2 linked regions of the Oryctolagus cuniculus genome follow. The protein of the gene in region 1 interacts with the protein of each later gene in a pairwise test. Links are inferred from orthologs where the notes say so. Each region holds a gene or a part of one and is shown in the gene's direction. Other genes may lie near its edges. The genes, in order: TFDP1 and E2F6.

Region 1 (3,317 bases):
CTGAGAGGTGGGGAGGAGGAGGCGCAGGCTGCTTCCACTCCCAGGTTGACTCCCCAGGCACCTACAGTGCGTGGGGCTGGGCTGGGCTGGGCTGAAGCTGGGCACCGTGCGCTCAGTCTGCGTCTTCCATGGCCACCTTCTTTCTGCCCCCCAGGTGCACACTGGCAGGAAGCTGCAATCAGGAGTGGGAGCTGGGACTCCGCCCGTCACTGTCTGGGGCGTGAAGGGCCTGGCCAGCCGGGGCTTAACCACCAGACCTAATGCTGCCCTGCCTGTGTGGAGTCTTTCGCTTGTGTTTTACAGTTATTTATTTATTTATTTGAAAGGGTGACAGAGGAGTCTCCCATCCACTGGTTCACTCCCCAAATGCCAGGCCAGAGCCAGGAGCCAGGAATCTCCATCCAGGTCTCCAGTGTGGGTGGCAGGAGCCCAAGCACTTGAGGTGTCAGCTGCTGCCCCCCAGGTGTATCAGAGGGAGCAGGATCAGAAGCAGAGGCGGGACTCAGTCAGCCCCAGGCACTCCGCTATGCGGACTGGACGTGGCTGGGGAGGACTCAGTCAGCCCCAGGCACTCTGCTATGCGGTTTGGACGTGGTGCGGGAGGGCTCAGTCAGCCCCAGGCACTCTGCTATGCGGACTGGATGTGGTGCGGGAGGGCTCAGTCAGCCCCAGGCACCCCACTATGCAGTCTGCACGTGGCCGGGGAGGACTCAGTCAGCCCCAGGCACTCCACTATATCCGCTATGTGGACTGGACATGGCGCGGGAGGACTCAGCCCCAGGCACTCCGCTATGCGGACAGGGAGGACTCAGTCAGCCCCAGGCACTCTGCTATGCGGACTGGACGTGGCCAGGGAGGACTCAGTCAGCCCCAGGCACCCCGCTATGCGGTCTGGACGTGGCCAGGGAGGACTCAGTCAGCCCCAGGCACCCCGCTATGTGGTCTGCACGTGGCCGGGGAGGACTCAGTCAGCCCCAGGCACTCCGCTATGCGGTCTGGACGTGGTGGGGGAGCGGGGCAGCTTAACTGCTTTGTCCTGACTTCGACCCTTGGAGAAACGTCTTCAGTCGGTCACATTGGCAGCTCTGGGCTGTGGCAGGTTTTGGGGGTGCTACCCCTGTTGCCAGGTGGTGGTCTTGCCCCTCACCCGGGCATCCTGACCTGCCGTGGCTGCCGTCTTTGAGCCTGTGCATGTGTGGCTTCTCTCTCACCTGGGGCCTGACCTGAGCCATGCACAGCCGCTTCAGGAGGACGGGGCTGGTGGGGGCCCGGGGGCTGCAGGGCTGGGTTCCATGTTGTGGGACTCGATCTCCCCTTGAGGCTGAGGCCAGGCTGGGTGGAGGCCGTGCCTGACGCTCGTCTGCCTCCTGTCCCTGCAGCGACTTGACCAACGGTGCCGACGGCATGCTGGCCACGAGCTCCAACGGGTCTCAGTACAGCGGCTCCAGGGTGGAGACGCCCGTGTCCTACGTTGGGGAGGACGACGAGGACGACGACGACTTCAACGACAATGACGAGGAGGACTGACGTCCCGGCCCCTTCCCCGCAGATCCGGCTTCAGGAGCCGGCGAGGGAAGAGACTTTTTTTAAGCGTGGGGTTTTCTGTTTCTTTCTGGCCTTCCCCCAAGAAGATGCTGGTGAGCTGCGAGAGGGCCCCGCAGGCCCCAGGCCGCCGCCAGGGCACTGCTCGCTTTGCAGGCGTCTGCTTTCCGTTTCTAGCTCTTTTTAAAGTTCAGAGTCCGTTTTTGCCCCTTCACAGCTCTCGCTGAGTTTGCTGAAGATATCTTACTTCATCCACATCAATGAAAATAAGACGCTCTCCTGCCGTGGCCGCGGGCGCCGGCGGCGTGTGGCGCCCTGCGTCGGGCTGGCGGGGGGCGGATGCAGGATGCGTTTTCCTCTTGTGAATCATGCGATGTCCAAAGACGGAAGCGAACACTCAGCGCCATGCGTCCTGCCGTGACTGTGTGCTCCGTAAATTATACTGACTGGTGTGACTCCATCAAGCTGACGTCTCTCTCTCTCTCTCTCTCTATTGCAGCAACAAATTGCAAAGTCCTCTTTCTTTTTGTTTGTCGTTTTGGTCTGCTGGGCAACGTTTACTGCCCGCTGGGGCGGCTGCGGAAACTCTGGAAGGTTTGTTGCTTATGGTAAAATTTGCCTGATTTCTTACAGGCTGCGTTTGGAAACTTTTTATTAAATAGTTGTTTACATACCTATGAGTCTGTCATTTAAAGACACGTACCGAAACAAATGTGGGATTTGTTTCCTGAGCATCTTCCGTAATCTATTATAAAGTTGAAATTAAACATAGAGAATGTTTTAACAGTTTTTTAACTCAAAATTTGTCAATCATTTTTAATAGTTCTTTTTTTATAAAGAGAAAAGGAAATTAAGGACAGGCAGTAGTGTCTTTTAAGATTTATTCACAGAAACATTAACTGCTCAGTTGCTGTCAGCTGCCTGTTCTGAAACGATAGTCTTTTTATTGAAACACAAATAGACTTTTCTGTAATATTTTATGGAATATAAAGAGACTTTAATTGTTTGACTTGTTTAACTCGGCACTGTTAGTTTTTATTAATAAAACGCGCATGGGCATTTTCAACGAGCTCTGTGTGCTCCATCTCACTTTCCCGGCCAGGGCCCCTCCCCCCACCCTGCGGCTCACAGCACGTGCGCTCCCTGGCCTCTTCCTCAGCCCTAAAGGTCGAGACGAATTCCACAGGTTTCCCCTTCAGAAAGGAATGACAGCATGGAAGGTTCTGGAAAGGAGTCGGAGCAGGAAGCACCAGGTGGTGGGGCGCGGCTCCGCCTCCTCGCTGCTCTGGGGCTCTGGAGAGGCCGCGACTTCAGGGCCGTCACTTCTGGTTCAGCTTTGGCTCCTCGCTCAGCGGCAGCCCCCGCCCAGCCCTGGCAGGCAGCTGCCTGCTGTGCTGGCACAGCCCGCACATGGGTACATGGGTGCACACGGGTGCACACAGTGTGGAGCCAGGGCAGGCCTGTGCTCTGGTCAGTAGCGAGGAGACAAGCCCTGCCACTGTGTCTGAAGCCCCCGCCCCTGCACTTACCCCCTCTGGAGACCAAGACACTCAGCTGTGCATGCAGGGAAATCCAGAGGGTGGCCTGCACCTCCGTGCGGCCTCAGCACAGTCACAGCCAGCTGAGATCCTGGAGCTGACCAGATGGAGACAGGCAGCCCGGTGCCTGGGCCTGAGCAACCTGGGGGGAGGGGAGGAGAACTGAGTAGAGGGAGGGGCACAGCACGCCCCAGGGAGAGAGCAGCACTGGAAGAGGGGAGACATGGATGCCAGCCC
Region 2 (3,809 bases), on another chromosome or scaffold:
CGGCCGGAGTGGCCACGCAGTGCAGTGCGACCCAGAGTGAGCCAGGCGCACGCCTCTGGGTGCTGATCCAGCATTCTTGCTGGAGTTGCGTGCCGGAGAGCTTGGGGCAGTCCCGGGCCCTCCTGGCTTCCCTCCCTCCCCTTCCCTTTTTCCCCTCCACCCCTGCCGTGGGTGAGGGTTGAGGGTGGCGCGTCCCTGTACTTCTGCAAGTCTCTGCTGTAGATGGCCTCGCCCAGGGCCCCTCTGAATCCACTCTGATCTCAGCAGGTGGTGTACAGAGGCCCACGTTTCAGCCCTTCCCCAGCCCCGGCACGGTCCCAGCCGCAGCTGGCCGCCTGCTTTGGTCACCTGTACCTTGAGGTGTCTCCTTCGTCGGCCCACCCCCAGCTCCTCGATGAGCTCCTGCAGTGCCTGGCGCTGTGTGAGGCTCTTTGCACAGATTTGCACAGCCCCTGAGGGGTAGTGGTGTGGTTTTAATCCTGTTTTACACGAGTGACCTGGGGCCAGAGCGGTTAAGTGACTTGGTTATAGTCAGGTTCAGTATCAGTCTGCCAGCTTTGGCTGCTGAGCTAGACCACAGAGTCCAGTCTAGGCTCACCTGACAACCAGAGATGTGGCGGCGCCTCCTAAGGAAGCCACCAGCCCCGCTCCGAGTTCCTCACCCCAGCCCCAGCCATCATGCCGACGCAGAAGTGGGGGCATGGCGTCATTCCACCAGAGCTCCAGGCTGTAGGTGGTGGCTCAGTTCTTTGGGTCCCTGCTACCGTGTGGCAGATCTGTACGGAGTTCTGGCTCCTGGCATCCGCCTGGCCCAGCCCTGGCCCAGCCCTGGCCGTTGTAAGCATTTGGGGAGTGGGTGGAAGATCTGCCTCTGCCCCTGCCCCTGCCCCTGCCCCTGCCCCTGCCCCTGCCTCTGCCTCTGTGTTGCCCTGCCTTGCAAACAAAGTCATCGGACAAGAATGTCCTGTGACACGGATGGCAGGTCCTGCTTTCTAAAGAATTCTTTAACTTCAGGACAAAACAAGAGACTTATTTTCAGAAATCATTGCGAACTATTCCTGAGAGTGGTGCAGATACAAACTCAGTCCTCTGTCCTATAGAATGCAGGAACTCCTGAAAAATCCGTGCTCACAGTGGGAACCGGCTGCGTATTTATGCATCTATTGAGTGTAAAACCTTTATTTAGACCTGGCGTGGCCAGTACGTTTTTCATCCAGTTTGGGAAATTCCGTAGAAATGGGTTGTGACCTGTGTGTGAGATGGGTGTGAGGCTGCTGTAGAAGTCTGCCTCTGACCACGAGGAAACAGACTCCGGAGGGTACTGAAAGTTTCACACGTGTGTTTATTTTGTTTCCCAGAAGCTCTAAAAGTGAAGAGACCTCGTTTTGATGTATCACTGGTTTATTTAACTAGAAAATTTATGGATCTTGTCAGATCTGCGCCTGGGGGTATTCTTGACTTAAACAAGGTTGCAACCAAACTGGGGGTGCGGAAACGGAGAGTGTACGACATCACCAACGTGCTCGACGGAATCGACCTGGTGGAGAAAAAGTCCAAGAACCACATTCGCTGGATGTGAGTTGGTTTCAGACTTTGCATGGGTACTTTTTTCCCTTTCTCCTCACATGACAATTCCATATTTACACCACACTAGATAGTAGTGATGGTTTTTTTGTTTGTTTGTTTGTTTGTTTTTTTGACAGGCAGAGTGGACAGTGAGAGAGAGAGACAGAGAGAAAGGTCTTCCTTTGCCGTTGGTTCACCCTCCAATGGCCGCCGCAGCCGGCGCACCGCGCTGATCCGATGGCAGGAGCCAGGAGCCAGGTGCTTTTCCTGGTCTCCCATGGGGTGCAGGGCCCAAGCACCTGGGCCATCCTCCACTGCACTCCCTGGCCACGGCAGAGAGCTGGCCTGGAAGAGGGGCAACCGGGACAGAATCCGGCGCCCGGACCGGGACTAGAACCCGGTGTGCCGGCGCCGCTAGGCGGAGGATTAGCCTAGTGAGCCGCGGCGCCGGCCCAGTAGTGATGTTTTGACAACAAAACAGAGTCAGAGAGGATTCTAACTAGAAAAGCAGTCCATAAGAACTTCTTGCATTGTCCACAAAGCACATTATTTGTTTTTGTTTTTTACTATGTGGGACTTAAAAAGAGCCACAGACACAGTGTCATTCCAGTGTTAGTGAGAAATTACACGGAACAATATTAGTTTGCAGTTTTTGGCTTTCCATGGTCACGAGAGACAACTGATGTTTATAGGAGATGTAAAAACATTTCATTCCCGTCAGTCACTGATACCGGCTCTCACCGGGCAGCGTGAGTGGTGATTCGATGGTTCTGGCTGGGGTGGACGGCAGTGCGCATTCTCAGTATTACCCCAGGAGCCTGATGCGGTGGGCAGCACCTCTCGCCCTGGGGTGCACTGCCCTGAGTGCAGGGAGGGAGACTCGAAGTCTGAAGGCAACTGCTCAGCGCTCGATGTAGTTAGGAAGGGCCTGTGGAAGCAAGACCCCGGCTAGACGTGCAGAGAAGGGCGTGTGTGATGTGCAGGAGCTATGGGCTCGGGACGGGCAGGTGTTCTGGATCGGGATGAAGAGTCCCAGGGCGGCGTCCGTGCAGACCGTCCAGGCAGCTGCAGAGTCTGAACAGAGCTCACAAAGCGGCTCTTATGCGCGGAGCTCAACTATTGGAGGAGAGGGCTTCATAAAGGAGGTGCCTTTAGTAGATCAGAAAACAGATCGTGACTTAGGATCACACTTGGACACCAGCAAGCAAGAAGAGTGAAAGGTAAGGTAGCAGGTAGCAGTCTCCCCTGTTTATTTTCCATGAAGACCGAAGGGGGAAGTGACTGTCAGTTGTTCCTCGTACCCTGGAGTCCACACTGACACCTGGGTATCCGTGTGACCAGTCGGGAACGGCAGAACTGCAGCGGGGAGCTGCCACCAGCGGCTCGCGTGGTTCCCCTGGGGAGAAGTGGTGAGCCCCACCACGCTGTGTGTGGCAGAGCTGGGGCTACACTGGCTGCCGTGACTCCTCAGTACAGAACCTGGCCGAGTATTGACGCCGCGGAGTTACAGCATGAGCTTTGGAAAGGGCCTGGCTGAGATGAGGCCTCTAAGTGGGATGCAGGCCAGTTTCTAGGCAGAACACCGTGTGTCTGGGACCCAGGGTGGGAGCTGAGTCGGTCCCCGGGTTCCGTCATGGGAAGAGCTAACGCGTCTCGAGCAGGTCCTGTCGCTCACTCAGGGTGCCCGTCGTCCAGGCGGCAGTGAGGGTCCTGTCGCTGACTGGGGGCCCGAGGTGCAGGCGGCAGTGAGGGTCCCGTCGCTGACTGGGGGGCCCGAGGTCCAGGCGGCAGTGAGGGTCCCGTCGCTGACTGGGGGGCCCGAGGTCCAGGCGGGTGAGGGTCCTTCTGTCTCTCAGAGGGTCTGACCTTCACCATCTGGGAGCAGTGCCCCAGCAGAAGAAGCTGCAGGAGGAGCTCTCCGACCTGTCGGCGATGGAGGAGGCGTTGGACGAGCTGATTAAGGACTGCGCCCAGCAGCTGTTTGAGCTGACGGACGACAAGGAGAACGAGAGATATCCTTCACGTCTGTGCCTGTGTACAGTAGGGCCGCTCTGGGATTTAACTCGTACAGTTAAGATACAAAATTAGGTCTTCAAAAGTGACCATAAGTAAAAGCGTGATAGTACAAGGGGGTGTCAGAAGTTTATGGAAAAATGAAACTAAAAGTTAGTGCTGGGGCAGTGGTCATTTAGCCCAGCAGTGAAGACACCAGCATCGCACACCCCGGATTTATTCATCGGAGA

Evidence for each region.
Region 2: the proteins of TFDP1 (region 1) and E2F6 interact in binary tests that used the Homo sapiens proteins (3 or more experiments, as listed by UniProt). The link is inferred for Oryctolagus cuniculus from reciprocal best matches to the Homo sapiens genes TFDP1 and E2F6.

What each region holds. Positions count from the first base shown.
Region 1 is NC_091440.1:466,245-469,561, reverse strand, and holds the end of TFDP1 (transcription factor Dp-1), read left to right. Parts: intron 1-1,379; coding exon 1,380-1,527; 3' UTR 1,528-2,611; downstream 2,612-3,317. UniProt on the Homo sapiens protein: Can stimulate E2F-dependent transcription.
Region 2 is NC_091433.1:191,250,012-191,253,820, forward strand, and holds part of E2F6 (transcription factor E2F6), read left to right. Parts: intron 1-1,358; coding exon 1,359-1,575; intron 1,576-3,422; coding exon 3,423-3,578; intron 3,579-3,809. UniProt on the Homo sapiens protein: Inhibitor of E2F-dependent transcription. Binds DNA cooperatively with DP proteins through the E2 recognition site, 5'-TTTC[CG]CGC-3'. Has a preference for the 5'-TTTCCCGC-3' E2F recognition site.